Saccharomyces cerevisiae S288C: one gene and its partners. The gene in region 3 interacts genetically with the main gene of each other region. Each region holds a gene or a part of one and is shown on either strand. Other genes may lie near its edges. The genes, in order: PEX29, NCE101 and SPO75.

Region 1 (7,428 bases), on a different chromosome or scaffold from region 3:
GTTTGACCAGAAATGGCACAGATTGTATGTTTTACCATTATCGTTCGAAAGAAAACTCATCAGGTTGTTTTCATCTAAGTATTCGGGGTTCTTTTTGATGAAATCCATGGACGTTTGCCATAGTGTTGGGATCGTCACTTCATATTCATGAATAGAAACGGTAAAGCCGTAAACTTTTTCGTTTTCTTGCATCCACTTAAAAACGTCGTAATTAATATCACAGTATAACTTGATGTCTGGTTCCACACGCCAGTACCAATCGTACTCTTCTAATAATTCATGTCTCCAGAAAAACCCAGATTGGTAACGACACATGTGTCTATAAGATTCGGAGCCACCGTATATGTATTTGGTGGCAGCATCTGCACGAATTTCAGCAGCCTTGGTTTGATTAATCCATTCAGGATATGACCAATGTTCCTTGGGCAAAATACCAAACTTAACTTCGGAAGAAACAGCTTTGGTGACTGCTTCCTTGAATTCTTCAGTAAAAGGTTCATCGTTTAGGAAAACCCAAGGATATGGGAATTTCTTGTTAATTTTGTTTTCCACATATTTAATGGAGCTTAGCAAACCTTTCAACTCCTTGTTTCTCACCAAAGTGACGTAACAAGCTTTTGGCTTACCAGCTTTGTTAGCAAAAGATGGAGTGATATAATCCATGGTTGTTTTAGTGTCGATCGGGGCATCTGCCTTTTCAGCGGCAGCTTTCAGAGCCTTGGATTCTTCATCCATGGCTTCGGAGTCTTCGCTTGCCTCTGAATTCAGAGCACTTTGCTCTAATTTTTTAGCATCATTTTCCTCAGAGATGACTTGTTGTTCAGGGGATATAGATCCTGAGGTAAAATCAAATGCAGCGGAGATGGAACTCGGAATATATTGCTGAGTTCTACTGTTGGAATTCAATGTTAGGAGGAGAACAATAACCGCACCTGCAATGACGGTAAATCTCAACAGTCTCTTACTGAGAAAGAGGGCCATGCTTTCGAGTGGAACTGCTTGCGAATATGGATATCACTTCCAGTATTATAGATTCATAAAATGTATAAACGAATTAAATCGCAAATTATCTCCTTTTCAGACTGTTTCTTCACCAAATTTCTTTTTTTTTTCCTACTAGAAGAAGGCGTAGCAGATAAGAAGGAAAAATTATATTAAGCGTGCGGGTAAAGGCAAGGAAGAATCAAGTAAGACCTCAAGAATGGCACTATAAGTGTGGTATTATAATCTGTGTAATCCTAATTTGAGCTCTACACAATACCATTCGACGGTTAACAGCTACTGCATCACCGTCCAGTCATGTCGTACAACGGAATAGGGCTCAAGTCGGCAAAAGGGTCATCTACGTCGGGCCACGTGCAGCGATCACTTGCTAGCAACAATAGGCGCAGACCACAGGGTAGTCAACAGCAGCGGCAACAACGACAAAATGCGATCAAAAAGGCCAGCCATGACAAGGCAAGCAGGCCTCTTGCTGTGCAGAAACAGATAGAGACTCATATGGAGAAACGTGAGATTGAAGTACAAGTTAGCGAGCTACGGGACCGACTGGAGGAGGAAGAAACGCTCTCGGAAGAGCAGATTGACAAGAAATGTGAAGCGTTGAGGGCAAAACTGACGAACGAGTGGCAAGAACAGCAGCGGATGTCCTCTTTGTACACCCCTCGTAAGGCGCGTCTAACGGAAGAGCAGCATCGACATGAATAGCAGCATTGACGATAGCGATAAGCTTCGCGCGTAGAGGAAAAGTAAAGGGATTTTAGTATATAAAGAAAGAAGTGTATCTAAACGTTTATATTTTTTCGTGCTCCACATTTTGCCAGCAAGTGGCTACATAAACATTTACATATCAGCATACGGGACATTATTTGAACGCGCATTAGCAGCATGATGACTCACACATTACCAAGCGAACAGACACGTCTTGTTCCTGGATCTGACTCGAGCTCTCGTCCTAAAAAGAGACGGATCTCGAAGAGATCAAAGATAATAGTATCCACTGTGGTCTGTATTGGTTTGTTGCTGGTTTTAGTGCAACTGGCATTTCCAAGCAGTTTTGCATTACGTTCTGCATCACACAAGAAGAAGAATGTCATATTCTTCGTGACGGATGGGATGGGACCTGCGTCTTTGTCCATGGCAAGATCATTCAACCAGCATGTTAATGATTTACCTATAGACGACATCCTGACACTTGACGAGCATTTTATCGGGTCTTCGAGAACAAGGTCCTCGGACTCACTAGTCACTGACTCAGCTGCGGGCGCCACCGCATTTGCATGTGCATTAAAGAGCTATAATGGGGCCATCGGTGTTGATCCGCATCACAGACCTTGTGGTACAGTGCTCGAGGCGGCTAAGTTAGCAGGTTATCTCACTGGGCTTGTTGTTACGACAAGAATCACAGATGCCACTCCGGCTTCATTCAGTTCACATGTTGATTACAGATGGCAGGAAGATCTTATCGCTACGCACCAGTTAGGCGAATATCCTCTGGGGAGAGTAGTAGACTTACTCATGGGTGGCGGCAGGAGCCATTTCTACCCTCAAGGCGAAAAGGCTTCTCCATATGGTCACCACGGTGCTAGAAAAGATGGAAGAGATTTAATCGATGAGGCTCAATCTAATGGCTGGCAGTACGTGGGTGACCGTAAAAATTTTGATTCTTTGTTGAAAAGCCACGGTGAAAACGTTACTTTACCTTTCTTGGGTCTCTTTGCAGATAACGACATTCCTTTTGAAATTGACAGAGATGAAAAGGAGTATCCTTCCCTTAAGGAACAAGTCAAGGTGGCTTTGGGTGCCTTGGAAAAAGCTTCCAATGAGGACAAAGATTCTAATGGGTTTTTCTTAATGGTGGAAGGCTCCAGAATTGATCATGCTGGTCACCAAAACGATCCAGCTTCGCAGGTAAGGGAGGTGTTGGCTTTCGATGAAGCATTCCAATACGTTTTGGAGTTTGCTGAAAATTCCGATACGGAGACTGTTTTGGTCTCTACGTCGGATCATGAAACGGGTGGTTTAGTCACTTCAAGACAAGTCACTGCTAGCTATCCTCAGTATGTCTGGTATCCACAGGTGCTCGCCAACGCCACCCATTCAGGTGAGTTTTTGAAAAGAAAACTAGTAGATTTTGTTCATGAGCATAAGGGCGCAAGCAGCAAAATAGAAAATTTCATCAAACATGAGATCCTGGAAAAAGATTTGGGTATTTACGATTACACGGATAGCGATTTAGAAACATTAATTCATTTGGATGACAACGCAAATGCTATCCAAGACAAACTGAATGACATGGTATCATTTAGGGCCCAAATTGGCTGGACCACGCATGGTCACAGCGCAGTCGACGTCAACATATATGCATACGCCAATAAGAAAGCTACATGGTCATATGTCTTGAACAATTTACAAGGCAATCACGAAAATACGGAAGTTGGCCAGTTCTTAGAAAACTTTTTAGAATTGAACCTGAACGAAGTCACTGATTTGATTAGGGACACCAAACACACATCAGATTTTGATGCTACAGAAATAGCTAGTGAAGTACAACATTATGACGAATACTACCATGAGTTGACCAACTGATCCTATCTAACTCTCCCTCTTTTTTCACATATTATTTAATACGTTATAATTTATTTGAATATATATATATATATATATATGTATATATACTAACCGCATGACACGTACTGTATCGCATTTCGTTTCGGAGTGCAGGCGAGTTTTAGGTGCATTCTATAGCGTGAAGAAGTGAAATCTCGTCATTTCTTCAAGTTATGCCATTCAGTCCAGATTGTTTCACATGCTTTCATATAGTCATTTTTGTCGTCGCGAACTTCAAATTTGAAAACATCATCATACAGAGAGATTTCTCCAATAATGATCCTTTCTTTGTCGTTGTCATCATCGGCATCGTCGTTAAGTGAAGCGCCCTCACTTAATGAATTTTTCGTGACAGAGCATTCAATGTCTTCATCAGTCTTACTTATGATTGGGTCTCCGTTGTGGTGTTTGGAGACAAAGGTTCTTTTTCTCGATGTCAAATCTTCCAAGTGTGGTGATCTACCAGCCAACTTCTTCCTCTTTGCATGGTAGTCGGCTGGTATTATACCATTATTATACAAGGGGCCGGGATACATCGGGGAATAATAGCCTTCGTATGCGTGCGTTTGTGTTGGAGTTGAAGAATATGGGTAGCATGGTACTGGTGGCAGTCCAGTATATGGATAAGGGTAGGTTGCTGTCATATATGAATTGGCCACTGAAGGATGATAATCTTGATTCGTAGGAGCCATCCTACCCATATATCTGACCCTAAGGCTATTTTTGTGCTGCGGAAATCTTGTTATGTTTGGTGGAGCACTTTTAGATCCATGCAAATGAGAAGATGCTTGTATATCGGAAAAATTTAGCGCTGGAGGTACCCTTTTCCTCTTTAAAGAATGATTCAGCGACTTAAAGGGTACGGTTTTCTCTGCTGGAGAAGTCGTAATGGTAGGAGGCTTACCACTATGATCTTCCTCTTTTTGCGACAGCCTAGATATGAGCAATTTTTGATTTTTTTCGATATCCCTGGATTTTTTGATCTTCGAAATCATTTTCTCACTCAATCTGTCTTCATCAAGCCCTGGAGATACTAACAGCATTCCCAGTTGCTGCAAATTCCTGGGATCATTTTCCTGAACAGTTGATATTTGCTCTTGCTGTGGGTCTTCTTGCTCTTCTTTATTCATAATTTTCCCTCTTTGCTTAAATATTCCTGCAGGCTTAACTATACCACATAAATACCACTGCAAGCAATAGAAATGAAAAATAACATTAATAACCAAAATTTAAATGGCTGTATGTTTATTGTTTATTTGATCTGCACATTATGTAATTATTGATAATTTAATAGACGTGTCCGCCGGGTGATGAAGCTGTGACATATCACAATTTTATGTGTACCTGTTGTATGTATACGCTCTAATGTCCGATATCATCATACGTGCATCACTTTGTAGCCTTCTAGGATGGCGTCTAGGTGAATACCGCCGTAGTGTTTAGGAAACTAATGTTATGGGTGGTTGTTGTTTCACTATCCAGTAATACTTTTGTGGTGAACTTAAGAAGCTTAGGGGTTACCCCTTCTTCTTGAACTAATTTTAAGAAATAACAACGAGGAATAGTGTGTATTTTTAATTACTGATCAGGCCGCATGAATATACTCACCTGTATACGTAGCAAAATTTCAGTCTCCTACTGTATATACGTCTAGATGGACTCGGTGACAAATTTTTTCTGGAATGACACCTATAATGCTGGTACTCCAACTAGATCAACTCTCAAGGGGAAGAAAGTGCAAAATGGCATAGATGGAAAAAGTCAGGCAAAGAAAGAGAGCATATCTAGTGGTTCTAGAACTAGTGATCCTACACGTGGTAGTCTGCCATCTTCCAGTGGACAGCCAACTAGTGGTGGCGGTTTTCCCTCGACATCAAACATCCAAAAGATGATGGCAGATACCCTGGTAGAGAAGATAATCAAAATGGCATTACCACCATCTTCCAAAACGGCTGTTGATACAATTCACCATCGTATGGTTGCTGGTAAAGAAAGGCCTAAGCTGTCTGTGCAGATCACGAGTAGGAATTTTATACAGATGAACTCGAGACTAGGGGTACCATTCATGATTATGGATGAATTAATAAAGATATTAAACTGGACTAACCCAGCGTATACAGTATCTATCATGTTCTTATACACGCTCATTATATTGAAACCTTTTCAAATGCTTTCTTCGCTCCCTATATTCTATTTGTTATTCTGCGTAATGGTCCCGCAATACCTTTACATTCATAAGCCAAACCCTACAAGCTATCTAGATAATAATCAAACACCAGCACAAGGCCCACCTTTGCGAAGACCTGAGGTTCCTAAACCAGTCCCTGAACTGAGCCAAGAATTTGTCTTAAACCTCACGGATTTACAAAACCATATGCTGCTATATGTTAAATTCTACGATTTTACTTTACTCATATTACAAAAGTTTGCATTCTTCACCAACGAGGCTATTTCGTCGTTTTATTTTATTGTATTGTTAATAATAGCAACATTAAATTTTCTGTACATGGATAAATTTATCAAGCTCATTCCAATGAGACCCGTACTGATACTGCTAGGTTGGGGTTTTTTTATTGCCTCGCATCCGTCCAATCGTGAATATTTGTTGACTAAATTGAATTCGGAGGAGACAAGATTAAAAACTTTGACTATAAGTACTAATCTGGAATCTAAGATTTTGCAGCATTTGAAACTCATTGAGGCTAGGGAGCACCGACTTGTTATGATCTTTGAGATCCAAAAGTATCTTCCTGAATACAAAGAATGGCGCCCAGTTGGATTCTCTGATGACGATTATTCTCTTTTCTCTAGTTTGAGAATATACCAGAGGCGTATTGAGGAAAATTCAGTGAAGTCATTAGAAGAAATTGAGCCACCTAAGGATTGGGAATGGGAAGCCAATTCTCATTGGGTGCTTGATTTGGATCCAAAAGAATGGGTAGAGGACGAATTTATTCAGTATGTCGAGATAGATTCAGAAACAAAATGGGTCTATGACCTCAATCTTGATGGACAAAGGGGCTCATATAGAAGGCGAATGTGGACCAACAGTTGCGTGCGGAAAAAACTGGATTCTGGTATTTCTTCAAACCTTGGTGAGGAGGAAGTAGTTAATCCATTGAGGGAAGAAACATATAGGCAAGGCGTACATGGCGTGACGAAGGGTTCAATGAGTGGCGGTCTAACTCACAGTAGTGATGATGACCGCGCTGATGAGGAAAGTATAAACGGTACTATTCCTAATCTCAACAATATCGACGCGGATGCATCTTATCCGTCAATCGAAGAGCTAACAGACACTCTCAATTCAACTATATAAACTTGATTTGTTATACTATATGTTCACTGATGATACAGTCAACTTTTCATAAAACTTTCTAATGACAGTGACGAACTTTTCTTCTTTTCCATTTTTTTCTCTTGATTTCTTTTCGATAAAAGGTTTGTAAGTGAGTTCAACTTTCTCTTCTTGGATCTCTCCTTACCAGTACTAGTTTTACTCTTTTGGGGCTTCTTTACCGCGTACGAAACCTTCCCGCTGCTGGTACTATTGATCATCGGACTAACATCTTGTCCAAATGTTGGAACAACGAACTCAGATTTCCACTCAAACAATTTAGACTTTTCACAATTCAAGCAATTAACCTGGATACATTTTTTTGGTCCTTCCATACTCTCGCCGCCAAGTTCGTCGGAGTCACCTTGCTCGGTATTAGTCGTTAACTGAAGACTTGCGTTAAAATTAGGAACGTAAACACACCCGCAATGGGAGCAAAATTTCCCACTTTTCAGTTGTTCTGGCAGCATGATTTGATATCG
Region 2 (6,497 bases), on a different chromosome or scaffold from region 3:
ATCGAATAACTTAATACCAGTTTGTACTCTTCGCAGCCTCATCTGTTCTAAATCTAGAGAGCCTTCGAAGATTTCTGTGTCTTCAGGGATAGAAAATTTTGCCACTTGAGTAAATTTATCCCATGGAATGGCTGCAAATTGTATTTTGCACAACTCTACGAGCTTATCATGTTCCCGGTCTTTATCTTTCTCAAATTCCCAATACTGTGTTCTCTCAAAACAATTATCTAAAATGGTTCTCTTACTTTTCTTGATTTCTTGACCAGTAAAAGAATATACTCGCTTGTACTGGGCGACAAAATCAGTGAATGTCTTATGTAGCGGATGTGAGCTGTTCATAAAGTTTAATCTGGCTTCACCATCCTTTGAAATCATCTGTTCAACAATACTTTTATCCTTTGCATAGTAGCGTGCTGTCAATTTGATTACTTCCATGTCTCTTCGGGATATTCCAGTATCATATTGAGAGAACAGAAAATCCGGCGGCCTTGCTATCTCTCGCTCACTCTTTCTGTCATTATCTTCACCGCTGACAGTGTCTGTTGGCTCATTCATGAGTTTGGTGTAGTATTCATGGAGTGGGTCATCTTTCTTGATGAATGAGAATCTCTCATCTTCTAGCAGTTTGTTCTCAAACTCAACACCATGCTGCTTTATGTAATTTACTGTGGTTTTAATGTCCTCTTTCAGCTGGGTATCTTCTGGTTCCATTTATACAACTGCAAATTATTGCTGTTAGTTTTACGCTTTACCTTATTTCTTCCTGTATTTAAGTGTTTCAAGGCTAACTTTTGCCGAAATATTTCGTTGAAGGAAGGTTCTTATTTTATCAAAAAATGGTCAACAGACAAACAATAGAAAAACCAAAAGAAAACAAAAGCTTTTGAGGAAATCGGTAAAATGGATGATCTGCTAAAAGTTCCCGAGATTGTAACCAATATTGCCTCATATTTATCTACTGTAGATTATCTGAGTTTTCAACAAGTGAATAAACGGGTTTATGCAATCATTAACGGCAAAAATGATTCAAAGTATTGGTCATTGAAATTGACTAGAATGGGTCTCCAACAGGTGCATTCAAATGAAGAAGAAGAAATTACGTTGCTGGATGAAAATGATAATCAAAATTCCCTTCGCATCTTCGAAATATACAAATCTTTCACTGCTCAAAATTCTAAAAAAATCTTTGTGAAATTTTACCGTTGTTATAACTCATACGCTAGGAAGCTATATAATAATAATCTAGCAAATTTCTTTCCTACTTCATATTCCAACGATCCGTTGAAACAAACAAGAATTCTAAATTTTATCAAAAAGTACAATTTCTCGAATAAAAATGATATAGAAACATTTACTAGGATTGAAACTAATTTCAACATTCTTAGGGAAATCTTCATTAATTCTGTTCTCAAAGAGTCAGAATTGAATTACCAGTCTAATAATTTAGCTGCCGTCGCTCGTTTCATGAAAATTTTATTGATATCTAATGAGGAAAGCAATGCTATCGAATTTTTCAAGTCAAAGGCTGATTTGCCTCCCAGTTTAACGGTTTTGCCGTCTAATGATGAATTATTTTGGGCCGAACAACCAAGGGAAGAGGACAGCGGTGGGAGTACCGTGATATTTAATTCTAAAAATTTAGATACGTTTCTCAATCAGCTAAGGGATTTCCTCAACGAAAAGATTAAATTAGCGGACATTTTATTCAAAGATGAGTTCCCTGTAATATTACAGTTCATCGAGTCCTTTATCCAAGATATTTTATTAGATATTTTAAACAATATCTTATTAAGCTATAGTGAATTTTTAAAAGAAAATGGAAAGGATAGTAAAGCCAATTATGAATGCGTACCCGAACTTTATTTCACATTTATAAAAAAGTTTGATACTGAATTAAACGACTCAGTAAACGCAGGCGCAAATTTCCGTAAAGTTGTTCGTGACCTTTTAAACCTGTATCTCGAGCCCTTTGTTGTCAACTATATGAATCAGACAACTAGAGTATTTGAATCATTGATCAACTCACAATTAGCTAATTATGACACACAAGTTCAAGACAAGCAGCGTGAGCAAAACGCAAAAATTTATAACACTTTAAAAGATCAAACGGATGCTTCGAGTGCAAGTAACAATGAATTGCCGAATGACCTCTCAATAATTACTGAAACCTCCAAAACTGTCCCAGAAGCGGATTCAAAACCAAGTACGATCCATCAATCAGTTCATTCAACTGATATTTCTAATGATAAACTAGACTTTCTAAGTTCCTTCACCAAGATTTTCAAGTTCTCGAACAATGAAAATCAAAGGCTAAAGCAACAACTACAACTAGCCTACAACTTAAATTTAATTTCCAATAACTTGCAAAACATTAAATCGTTAATAAGTCTCGATTTATGTTACAAAATTTTACAGGAAACAAGCGAAAAGACGGATCAAATTTACAAATTTCATACGATTGAAAGTTTGCTACCATTGATCAAGCTACGCTGTCAAGAGATTTTCAAAATTTTAATTACACAATTGAATAAAAATCACGTTAAACCTGCATTTGAAAAGGCAATCCTGCTACTACAAAAATATAATCCTAACGAAATAGAACAAATAGAAATAAAATTCAATTCACTTTCGCCAGCCAATACTCAAGTCGAACCTTTAGTACAATTCACTGAACTTATCAATATAGGTGACATAATATTACAAATGATTTCCATTTTTTACAAGAACGAATTGATTCCCAAAAAAATTATCGATAAAAATAAAGATTTTCTTAATGATGTTATCCAATTAAAAAAAAATTTTGAGACTTCTATCGATGATTTTGTAGCCGAAGGTTTAAATATCGGTATAAACAAACTAATGGATGAAATCTCATTTGTATTCAAGACTCTTCAATTGCCTGACGATTATAATCCACCGCCACCCTCTAGGAATTCTCCAATAAGGGATATAAAGCCAACCAAATGTGCTATCAGGGTAGTCGAGTTACTTTCTAATCATTGCTTTCTACTGACTGGTGCCACAGACAAGGGTACTATTGACGTGTACCAACAAGAAATTGGCGAGAGATTCTTTAATGAAATCGTCAAACATCTGAAGAAGTGCTTCATATCTACGGAGGGCGCAATTTGGTTAATCTGCGATTTAAATTACTTTTACGATTTTATTGCTAACAAATTAAAACAAAAAAATGTTGTTCCCTATTTTGTTGGGCTTAAGTCTATTGGCCAGTTATACATCATTTCAGGCAAGGACTCGAAAGAGTTGGGAAAGCTTATTTCTGATCTTGGGAAATTCAATGGCATTTTTACGCAAGAGGAAATTTATGAATTTGTTCAGAGGAGAAGCGATTGGGTTCGTGTACGGAAAGACGTTGAAAAGGTAATGTACGGCCTAGGCATACGAGATTGCTGCATTATGTAAATTCCTATCAATGATTAATTATATTACTCTATATAGGTATGAAGTGCGGAAATAAAAGACTGTTCACATATTAGATTATTCAAGATTACGCGGGCTCTATTTTTCCCTGTTAGCCACACGCACACAAGGGGCATACAAATGTTCACTCCATTTATAAGAGGATTCCACACAAGATCATCGATAACATGGTTCAGTACGCTCCCTTTCTATTAGGAAAGTATGTTCATTCTTCATACGCTATTCTATTTTTTTTTTTTTCACACTTATTCTTTTACTAACGCATAGTTAACCATTTGCTGTTTCGAAGAGGCAACATCAAACAAGTCGATGTGCTCTTTCCCAAGCTGGTCTCTATTGCAGATTTTCTGATCCGTTATTGGCAATTATGGTAGGCTGTCTCAGCTACTATGTGTACGAAAGGAAAATGGGGCGTCCACAAGGTCATCATTTACACGAGCTCATAAAGAAGCGATGGGACGATCGCAAATAATAATCCGGCGTGAGGGGAGTATATATAAGTTTCTGGCGATATGTAAATACCATAATAATTAATCCTAGGATCTACCTTTATACGCATTTATCCTATAAAAACCCAATCTTTCAGATCCACAGTATTTTTATATGTGTGATTTCCTTGATTGTCTCAATTTAAAGAGTAATACATACAACTTAGACCAAAGAATTATTCAATAGATGACGCCGAAAGAATCTGGAAAGCCTATTTCGTGTGCAATGAAGAAGTTGAAAGGCAAGAGATCTAAGATTTTGGTTTTATCTAGAGATGCGGGCACCAACGAATTGAAGCCAACGAAAGGAAGAGCACATCGAGCTTGCATAGCTTGCAGAAAGAGGAAAGTACGATGTAGTGGTAATATACCATGTAGACTTTGCCAGACTAATAGTTACGAATGCAAATATGATCGCCCCCCACGGAACTCATCGGTATTTGATAGGGAAGTAAGCGATGATAGTTCCTTATATGCACAGAGAGCTTCCCACGAACGGGAAGATAGCAAGGGCCCTATAAGTTCCATTGATTACAAAAAGGTTGTAGAGACGATCTTTCCACCTGAAACACTCCGTCAAATACTTGCTTCTTCTTCTTTTAACAGCCAGAATTTTTTGGACACTATTAAAACGTGTCTACTTCAAGGACAATTAAATGTTAATCAGGTAATACGTCAAAGTCTACCAAAAGATACGCCTTGGCACATGCAAACAAGTGTTCCATTACCACCCAGAGAGATTGCCTTGAAATTTATTCAAAAGACCTGGGATTGTGCCTGTGTGCTATTTAGGTTCTATCACAGACCTACTATCATTTCTATCTTGGACTCGATATACGAAGCAGAAAAACATGGCAAGCAATATACTCCAGAACAAGTGAAAACACAACCTTTAATTTATTCTGTTTTAGCAGTCGGAGCCCTTTTTTCTAAGGAAGATCTCAGCAAGGATAGTAAAGCAACTAGGGAATTTTACACTGATGAAGGCTACAGATACTTTTTAGAGGCCAAAAACTCTTTGGACTTTTCTAATATTACTGACATCTATTCCATTCAAGCTATATTTATGATGACGATCTTTTTGCAATGTTCAGCAAACTTGAAGGCTTGCTATTCGTTCATTGGTATCGCTCTGCGTGCTGCGTTAAAGGAAGGTTTACACAGGCGGTCTTCCATAGTTGGTCCTACTCCGATTCAGGATGAGACAAAAAAAAGGCTCTTTTGGTCTGTGTACAAACTAGATCTGTACATGAATTGTATTCTTGGTTTTCCAAGCGGTATCGACGAATCTGATATCGACCAAGAGTTTCCTCTAGACGTCGACGATGAAAATATATCTACTATTGGAATAAAGTTTCAAGATTGGCGAACGATAAGTTCCTGTGGAATGAATAATAAGCATACAAAGCTTATTTTAATCATGTCTCGGATCTACAAGCTAATGTACTCTTTGAGAAGAAAACCATTAGAAGAGGATTCTAGGACGCAGATTGTATCGTTGAACGATCAATTAGATAATTGGTATGCCCAATTACCAGATATTTTGAAGGTTGACACAATACGGTATCGTCAAACGCAACCACCTCTAACTGTTTCCGCAAATGATACTAGTTCTCCATACACTAAACCTAAGAAATTATTATATCTGGACTTCCTTCTATCCAAAATCGTACTCTATAAACCATTCTACCACTATATTTCTATAGACCCGTTAGATATCCCAGAGTTCCAATTTCAAATTCACATGGCGGAAAACTGTATTGAAGTTGCCAAAAAAGTTATTCAATTATCTTATGAAATGATTACGCAAAACCTTTTGAGTGGTAGCTACTGGTTTTCCATTCATACAATCTTTTTTAGTGTTGCTTGCCTCAAATTTTATGTCTACCAAACAGAAAAGGGCCTGATACGAAATGGGAAGGTTGATTCGGATATTCATAACGCTACGCAGCTTGGCAGTGAAATATTATCACTTTTGAAGGGTGCTTCAAATGCGAGTAAACGTACTTTTGAAGTATTGAACCAATTGTTCAAAGAGTTTAACGAGAAGACCTCTGTATTATCTGAACAACTTTTGAATATAGTTAAATTGCAACGGCAAGAAAGTAGTGGAGCTTTAGTGCCCCAGTTGCAGACAAATAATAATTTTACGAAGTGCCAAGGAGAATTACATCATGGACAGCAGCATCACCAAACTCCAGCCACGAGTCTTCGTTCCATTCTGAATCTTCCACAAGGGGAAGCTGATCTAAAGTTTCAGAATACCAATAATGAGAGCCATACAACGACAGCTGCACAAGAAGAATACTTAGATAAACTTCTAGCAGAATTTGAGGAATTTGACTACTCAATTAACAGAGTATTACCTGATGTCATCGATTTTTCAGCACTAATTGGCCAAGATTCTTCTGCCAACAATCAAATATTTTCCTCAGAATTCAGCTCTGACCCAACAGTAAATTGAACCTTTAAACTCGCGACTTCTTTATATCTGTATATTCTTCTACATCCTTCTTTTTATGTATTATTATTTTATCTGCTTCCTCACACCACATAGTGGCATACCGT
Region 3 (8,720 bases):
TAGTATGTTGTGATGTTTTCATAGACCTGGAGAATATTATTAGTAATTGTATGCATCTCAGAAGCAAGAAAGGTTACGACTACATATGCACACATACATACGTACATAATATATATATCTATTGACGTTTACGACTTAACGGGGATTTATCATGCTCTCTTATATAATCCATATCTTGATCGATTTTAGGAGAATTGGCGCTTAGGCTAAAAGGTACAGCGGGTATTCTGCCAAAATCAATATGGTCAACTTTGGATGGCATGTTTCTAGTGGTACGCCTAGGAGAATACCTTAGAGGTTTTCCTCGCGTCGGAGATCCGTTTAAGCCTGTCGTACTTTCAAGGTTGATCTGTTTTTTAGCTGTAGAATCAAGAACACTGGAAGATTTCACCGGACTTGGTATGGCTCTTCTTGCCCTGCTATAATGCGACTTCATCGCTTCCATTCTGTGCTGCTTTATTCTTTCTGAGCCTGGTATGGTTGAGGCGTTTTGAGAGTCTGATCTTATGGGAGTTTTTAGTTCATGTTTAAGATTGAAGTCCTTCCTTCTCTTTGGAGAACTGTCTGAACGATTTTTCCATAATAATAACAATCCCCTTACAGTGGCCCTGTCCCACCGATGACGAAACACCTCGACTGTCTCATCATTACGCTTAATTTTTAGGAATCGAAGACTCCACATTTTCAAGAATTTGGATGTAATTATGAATTGTTTATTAGCTTCCGATTGTTCCAATAATGTACTCATATAAAATATTTCGTCTAGATGAGTTTTCCAAATATAAAACGTCTTGACTAACACAAATTCTTCGCGAACTTCGTCTGCTAATTCTTCTGATTTTACTATCTCTAAAAGTCTTTCTCTAAATTTCTTCAGCACCATTTTTTCAAGCTGGTAGTTTCTCTTTGAAATAGCCTGAATGTTACATTCTTCTGTGTAGAAGCAAAATCTATTTCGCCAAGCGTTGAACAGTTGGCTTTGAAGTTCGCGCTCTTTACTCTTTTCATAAACGTGTAAAATATCGTTTAACTTATGCCTGACTTTGAACCTTGTGGCTTTCCGCCACTTTAAAAAGGCCTTAGAAAGCTTTACTCTATCCATAGAGGGCGCCAGTTTCGTATATAGCAAATGAACATTATCAATATGCATTAGCGTCCGTTTTACAGTCAAAATTGCATGTGTCTTACATAAGAAATTGTATCTATCCTCCAATTCCTTAGTTTTAATCAGGCGTTCTTTCCATATAGCTAGACACTCATTTACGAGACCCTCTTCGTAAAATTTGGATGCTTCGTCATTCATAGAATTCATTTGTAGCATCCTCCTTTTCCACACACCAAGATATTTTGCACAAAATGCCGTTTTAACATGTTCGCTCGATATTTTCCCATACTGTATTCTTTTCCTCCATGTACGATACGCGCTTGCTTGAATACTCTTTTTACATTTCTGCTCAAATATTTTTAACTTTACTTCAAGTTTCCAACTTCGCAATGATGACTTGAGCAAATTAGTCCTCGAATAATCGCTTGCTTTGAGGTCAATATATAGAAGTTTTTTCCATGAATGAAAAATACGCTTCACGAGGTTAGCCTCTTTTAGACTTACAATTGAATACAAATGCAGATGGTCTTCGAATCTTTTCAGCCACATCTTCTCAAAAACGCACCTCAAAAGTGTCTGATTTAGTTTACTCTTTGCAATTGCCTCTTGTTGACTATGTTGAAATGACCGGTTTAATTTGCGAAAAAACTTTTGTTTGATGAATTTATTCTCCAGTTCATAAAGTGCCCCAAGTTTATCTTCGTTTTCAATGTTTTTCTTTTCCCATTTATTCAGATATTTTCTTTGTAGAGAAAACGACCTCACTTTTTCTGCAATGCTCTTATTGTATTCATAGTTTATAACTTTCTGTTTTATTCTTTCGAAAATCCTTCTTTCCAACCCGTGGTAGTTTATTTCTTTATGTCTTAGCTTCCATATATGAAATGTTGTTCGTAAAAATATCTTCTTAATGTTGTCAGTGTTAACAGTTTCTAAGTGTTTCCAATGCTCTTGTGCCTTTAAAATTTTCCTAAACATCTTATTCAAAAAGGCCTGATCTGCTAACCTTGACTGCTCCTTAAGAGTTTGTGTTAAAGTTATCCATTGTTGGAACGAGCGAAATAGTAGCCAAGTATTCCTAAAACTTTCAGCTTCATCGTTGGCCATCTGTGAGTATTTTAATGTTTTATCACTCCAAATATAGAAGACGGCTTCCTGTACCCTCAGCTTTGCTTGATTTGCAAACCTGTTTGCCTCTTCATTCAATTCACATACAGTCTTCCAGTGATTAAAATGTCTTCTGATTTTGTTCTTAGCGTAGGTATATTCTGCAAGGGACAATGCAATGAATTTGTTGCGAGGGTGGATTAAAAATATTTCTAAAATCTCTTCTATAACAGAATTGAAAGTGAAAAAACCTTTCAGTTCATCTTCCAATATTGTGAAGTACTCATCGCGTAAAGGATTGATGCCTTCTTGAATAAGAATATTGACATAGTTTTTGAAAATTTGTAAAAAACTTCTGGATAGTTTGAAATGAACCAAAAAAGCTTCAATCTGGCGGTATAAATCTTCGATTACCTCAACGGATATATCATTCAAATCATATCGTAAACCATTCTTAGGAAGATCGGTAACGTCTTCATACTCCAGATTTGTCGAATCAACCGGTGGAGAAGGAAGATGGAACGGCGGGTCTTCGAAAAAGCCTTCAGTTTTATTTAATTCTATAGGCTTTAAAGCGTTAACAATATACCTTTCTGCGCCTCCATGAATTAGTGATTCGGTGGAATCCGTTATTTGCCCTTGCTTGATGAGTACATCAGTGGGAATATTAGTTGGAGATGTCTCGGGTACGAATTTATCACGCAGAAGATTCTCCGTTGATTTATTTGTCGTGCCGAATTTGCCCATAACCTAGCACATATAGGCAATAGATTGTGATTAATAGGCCACCTTTATTTTTTTGTTGCTGCCTTCTTGAGTTTCCCATTGCCAATCTTCGCGCATCATGGCACTATCTATTTATTTTACCTATACATAATATTACCCTCCATTCGATAATAATAATAATAATAGTTAACACAGAAAAATGATGAGATACAGGTAGACTGTTCATTACAAAAACGTGGTTCTATGGTTCTATATATGTATGGTTATTTATTTACTTATTTATCCGTGCATTCTTTATCTAAATTCCTCTCCAGACACATTTTTCTACCAGATCGTAACTCTTGGTGCTTTGAAACTTAATGAGACCCATGTTTTCAAAGGCGAAGATTGCTTGCATGAATAAAATTAGTGCTACTTTGTCAAATGCGTCCGGTGTTTCTGCTAGTTCTAAGAGTTTGGTGTTGGAGGGATCTTTTCTTATGAAATTTAATATTTCCTCTTTTGGTAATGTTTCTCTGAACGCAATGTAGAAATCGTAAATGTTGATAGTCATATTCGCCTCACGATAAAGCTTGAATAGCTGACCCAGTACCGGAGCCATTATTTTATCCAAATCTCCAGAAAGAGTATCATAATTTTCTTTATCAAGCGAAGGCAGCACCTGCTCCCAACTTAGTAAGTTATCTTCGATATTTGACTTGTAAGAAGGGAAAATCGACTGGGTAAGTAATCCACTTCTGTTGTCCAAAGTAAATAGCTCTTGAAAAATTGTATCAATGGGTTCAAAATGAAGCCGATCCTTATACTCTTTACATGCTGACCAACGATCTAGATAGGAGTCTAGTTTGCCAATAAGCAAATTATGATATAATTCTATCAGATTAAAATTGGTTATATTCAATTCTTCTTCGAGGAATCGAGCAACAAACTTAGCATGCCCGTTAATCGGGTTCTCTCTTACCAAAAACTCAACAAAAAACTCTTCTAGGCCTCTGTTTTTGTTTGTCAATAATGAAAGAATTTCGTCAGCAGGAGCATGCTGCTTTATAAGACCTTCGACAAAGAACATGAATGTAGGACATCTGCTCAGTATTTTTAAGTAGTCGTCGTTCAAAAAATCAACATTTACAGGGTCAATGAATACTGAAAAGGCATTCTGGAAAAAGTACGACATCAACGAATAATCCAGCATCTTCGTCAATAATTGTAAGTTGTGATTAGTATTATTTGCCATCTTGCTGAGAATGAATTCCACAAAACGATCTGAAAGATTTAGTTTGCCATCAACCGTATCCAAAAAGCTTTGAAAGATTTGGTTTCCGTACTTAAATCCTTTATTACTCGACACGTCTAGTTTATGATAATTTCTCTTCAGAAGTCGTATGGTTGATTGTCTCAAATTTTTCTCAATATTTGACAAGTTTGTATTAATATTAAAGATTAAACTTATTTTAACATGGTCATACTTGAAGGCACTTTTCAATAGAATTATGAAGTTATCCAATGTGTTGAAGTTAATAGAATCTACATCTTTAAAATTAAATACCATTGCTAAGTCTTTTCCAAAAAGCCTTTTGAAGTTTTCCACAAGTGACAGATCGTATGATACATCATTGTTTTGCTCGGTAAAATCGCCATCTTCATCGTTAATGTCTTCATACTTGATAGTTGGATGTTCTTCTGCATCAGCTGCGCTGTAAAGTTTGTACATAGACCTACGAAGCATCATTCTTACATTCGGAGATTCTTTCGGAGTCAATTCAATCAAAACGTTGTAGCGAGAAGATTCGTCTTTAAGTTCAATTTTTGTCGTACTATCTGAACCTAATAGGAAAATAGTGTTAAAGCATCGCCTTTTCTGAGTAGTTTCACTATATAAAAGGTCTGAAATCTCTGCTTTCAAGTCTGCTTCAATATTATCGATAATATGATCTACTTGATCATGAAAGTGGGAATGTAACTGATGATACAATTCCCATCTTTTTTCCACGTTCACTTCCGATTCTTTGCCTGATAGAAGTTTGACAAAGGGAATGTGTTTATCATTTTTGTTACTTTGAGGCAAACTGGGGTATACTGTATAGTGGCTCCTTTGGGCGTCAGCAAACTCGCTGACGTTCATCTTTTTGGATTGGTTAAGGTCGCTCATCCTGTTGGACTACTCTTGTGATACTACGACTCTGTATGTAAACAATGCCATCTTTTGTCACTTTTCTTTTTCTTCAAATTACGGTGCGGAAAAATACGTCAGTAAATATCAAAAAGACACTAAAAAAGGCGTTAGTGGTAATGGAAGGTAAAAAAAATTCTTACCATCTAACAGAATGCTTAGTTCCATTATCATCACGTGTAGCGTTTCTGCTGGTCTTACTAAATATAAAGATAATAAAACAGCAGGTAATGAAACATTACTCTTGTGAAATTGTCAAGCCTGTCTCGTAACGCAACCAACGACAACCCTTCATCTCCAGTATAGTTTCAAGTTTCTGGAAAAGATTGTCTTTTCCACCTTTTTTTATTTTTTTTTCCTATTAAAAAAAAAGCTATTCTACAAAAAATTCTTTATGACACAAATTATAGCGTGTTTAAAAATTAAACAAATGTGCAAAGTATATTCACAGTAGACAAACTTCAGGAACTCTTTTTCAAAAACAAGAAAAAGACTTACCAAGAAGATGAATGCTACTAAAGAACTGACTTTTAATTTACTGAATAAATTTCAAGACAAAGAAAGATTTGGATCTGCGCAAAGACATGCTGGAATCTCACTAAAAGGGTTCATATCTGGTATATTGTTTTCTTTTTTGTACTTTTTATTTCAGCTGTCACTCTTTATTATTTTAAGATCAAGATTCAAGACTATATATCAGGCCAATGTCGTTCTGAAAATCCATCCAGGTTCTAAAGTTTGTTTTGCTAAGAAAAAAATAAAAAATTATTGGTCATTATTTGCATTTCTCAAGCAACTTCCCGGAAGAATGTTAGATCCTATGGAAAAATTCGAACGAAACGAAAGGTATGGCCTAGACAATTATCTATTTTTACGGTTTCTCAAACTTTTGATATTCTTTTTTGCAGTGTTATCAATTATCAACATTCCAATACTAATTCCAATCCATTATTTTTCCAGGGATATTTTGAAAGAAAATGAAGGTGAACGTTATGAGCAAAGTTTCAGGACGACAAGTAAACTTGACAAGTGGACCATGTCAAATCTATCACCTAATTCATCGAATACTTTAATCTGTCACTTGTTTTTGAGTATCTTTGTTGTACTCTGGTTTCACTTCATTCTTTCTTCGGAACTGAGGTTCGTTAATCGACTAGGATATTCCGTTTTGACGAAAAGTAAATACCAAAACATTCTATATTTGGAAGGATTCTCAAGTAAATTGGTTACCCAAAGTATTTCTTTAGAAACTTTTTTTCAGCCGCTACACAGTGATTGCTTTGGCGTGACGCATTTCATTCCAAAAAATTTGAAGAAAGTCCACAAATTAGAAATAAAGTTAAATAAATTACAAAAATCAAAAGAACAAATTATCTTTGAGATTATTTTAGAGAAATATTTTAGAAGAGTTTCAATACACAGGCATTTGATAGCAAATCACAAAAGATTTTTCTTTTCAAAGTTGAAAAACCATCTATTATTTCAGTACAAAAAATTGGTATTTTTAACTCAATTTAGAATTTCATACTATTGCACAAAAATTCGTCTGCGCTGGAAAAAGTCAAGCATCTTTCCGTTATATTACCCTAAACTGTATGTAAATACAGAAACAATATTAGAAAGGAAATACAGAATCCTTGATAAAATAATACGCAAGGAAAAACTCATTAAATTCCAAGTAAATTCCTTGAAAGCAACTTCAGAAACCAAGCAGGCACTGCCCGACGATTTATCGTCGGGCACAGACATTTATATGGATAAGATGTTCATTACCTTCAAGTCCACATTATTGTCAAACGTTATAGGTGAGTTGCTTTCGTATAGACTACCCACCCAAAATTTAAAAGTAATAATAGGCCCCAATGTTAATGACATTATTTGGAGAAATATCCTCGATTCATCACCCCTTTGGAAAAGTGCCAAATATTTCTCGGCAAATATATTGCGAATTTTTGTGATTATAGGCTGGATTTTGCCTGTCGCGTTCCTTGGGTTAATATCACAAATACCAAATATTTCCTCACTAATACCGTTTACAAAAATAATTCATTTCCAATCTCCATTTATAAGAGAAGTGGCAAAGAATTTGATTCCAATAGTAACCTTAATAATAATAATAGAAATCGTACCCTACTTTTTCCGTTGGCTGAGTTACCTTCGAGGGTTGAAAACTGGAGCGCAAATAGAAGCTGATGTCCAGAATTGGTATTTCGTCTTTGTCTTCATTCATCTTTTCGTAGTTGTTACAATATCTTCTGGATTTTCTATAATTATTGAGAGGCTTCTTAACAATCCTGTCAGTATCCCTGCTCTCCTGGCCAACGACTTGCCTAAATGCGCAAACTTTTTCTGTTCTTTTGTTTTGATTAGGGGAATGGCTTATGCAGGCGGTAATTTGTTAAGAATAAAAGAGCTACTTTTTGAATTGTTCTACTATAAATGGAAAAGGAGTACTCCACATGCTCAATTTAAGAGGTTAAAGACATCTTTATTTTTCCAACTAGGATCTATTTATCCTATATTCTCAGTGTTGGGCTGTATTGGTATCATATACAGTGTTGTTGCTCCTATTATATTATTATTATGTTGCATCTCATTTTCGATGGTTTTCTTTTCTTTCAGTTACTTGTTCAAATACCAATATAACAAAGAGAACTATTCTGAAACGTTCGGTAAATTGTACATACAGGCCCTTATGCAATTGTACGCGGGCATTTATTTCATGGAATTTTGTTTACTCGGGCTGTTCACTCTTTTTGATCAATACACATTGTCAACTATAATGCTTGTTGTCTTTGCTCTAACAGTAATCACGCACTCCAAAATCTCCAAACAAATAAAATCGAAGCCTCAACGCATACCAACTTTGGAATACTTGTCGAATCTAACAGAGGAAAGGAAGGACCAATTCTGTCAAGAAAGTTATACTTTCCATGATATTTTCTCCATTTGTAGAAATTCGGATGAAATTTGGCTACCAAGGGACAAACTAGGAATTTCTGAAGAAGAACAATCATTTTTGGAGAAGTCGTATCACCTGAAATTCGATCTTAATATGTATTCAATGAATTTATTTGGTGATTGTCACTTGGAGAATAGCCACTTGCACTAACCAAAACTGGAACACCAAAAATGAGGCAGAGAAGATAGGAAAAAGATAGAACAAAAAATTTGTACATAAATATTTATAACTCTGTAGGCTTTTCTTCTCTCGTATTTTTACTACGTGGCCACATACTTGGTAACCTGACAAATTGGAATCTTGGTTCAACGCATCGTTCAACGAACCATTTTTTTATTTGGTATTCAATGACACTGCCGATCTTGGGAATATTTTCAAGTTTAGACCGTGAGCCAATTAGCGACTTGATTTCAAATTCCATTCTATATTCAGGAGAAAAAGAAAACATCAAAAAGTATCCTGAATTGCCCTCCATACCGTTTTCACTACTGCTACCGTTCGAAGTAGAAGCAAACTCCTCTGCATTAGTTAAAGATACGGTCAAACACGCCTGAAACCTCACAATTGACACTACTAGATTTATGGGGAGTGCGGCAATACCAGGCTTTGGATAGTTAAGTAATAGTTTTGTTTCTACTCCTAAAGTTAAG

The links.
Region 1: mutations in SPO75 (region 3) and PEX29 together harm fitness more than expected from each alone (negative genetic interaction), as found in Saccharomyces cerevisiae (2 studies listed by BioGRID).
Region 2: mutations in SPO75 (region 3) and NCE101 together harm fitness more than expected from each alone (negative genetic interaction), as found in Saccharomyces cerevisiae (2 studies listed by BioGRID).

The regions. Positions count from the first base shown.
Region 1 is NC_001136.10:1,414,710-1,422,137, reverse strand, and holds PEX29 (Pex29p), read left to right. Parts: upstream 1-5,263; coding exon 5,264-6,928; downstream 6,929-7,428. Other genes in the region: alpha-1,2-mannosyltransferase KRE2, read right to left, coding at 1-981; U2-type spliceosomal complex subunit CWC21, read left to right, coding at 1,300-1,707; alkaline phosphatase PHO8, read left to right, coding at 1,888-3,588; DIG2 (Dig2p), read right to left, coding at 3,768-4,739; SNM1 (Snm1p), read right to left, coding at 6,967-7,428. UniProt on the Saccharomyces cerevisiae protein: Involved in the regulation of peroxisome number, size and distribution.
Region 2 is NC_001142.9:47,555-54,051, reverse strand, and holds NCE101 (Nce101p), read left to right. Parts: upstream 1-3,608; coding exon 3,609-3,640; intron 3,641-3,783; coding exon 3,784-3,913; downstream 3,914-6,497. Other genes in the region: PRP21 (Prp21p), read right to left, coding at 1-711; RCY1 (Rcy1p), read left to right, coding at 901-3,423; YJL206C (uncharacterized protein), read left to right, coding at 4,117-6,393. UniProt on the Saccharomyces cerevisiae protein: Involved in a novel pathway of export of proteins that lack a cleavable signal sequence. May be part of the export machinery or may also be a substrate for non-classical export.
Region 3 is NC_001144.5:137,440-146,159, reverse strand, and holds SPO75 (Spo75p), read left to right. Parts: upstream 1-5,613; coding exon 5,614-8,220; downstream 8,221-8,720. Other genes in the region: SFI1 (Sfi1p), read right to left, coding at 119-2,959; ORC3 (origin recognition complex subunit 3), read right to left, coding at 3,237-5,087; ERMES complex subunit MMM1, read right to left, coding at 8,294-8,720. UniProt on the Saccharomyces cerevisiae protein: Acts as an osmosensitive calcium-permeable cation channel. Required for spore wall assembly and ascus formation.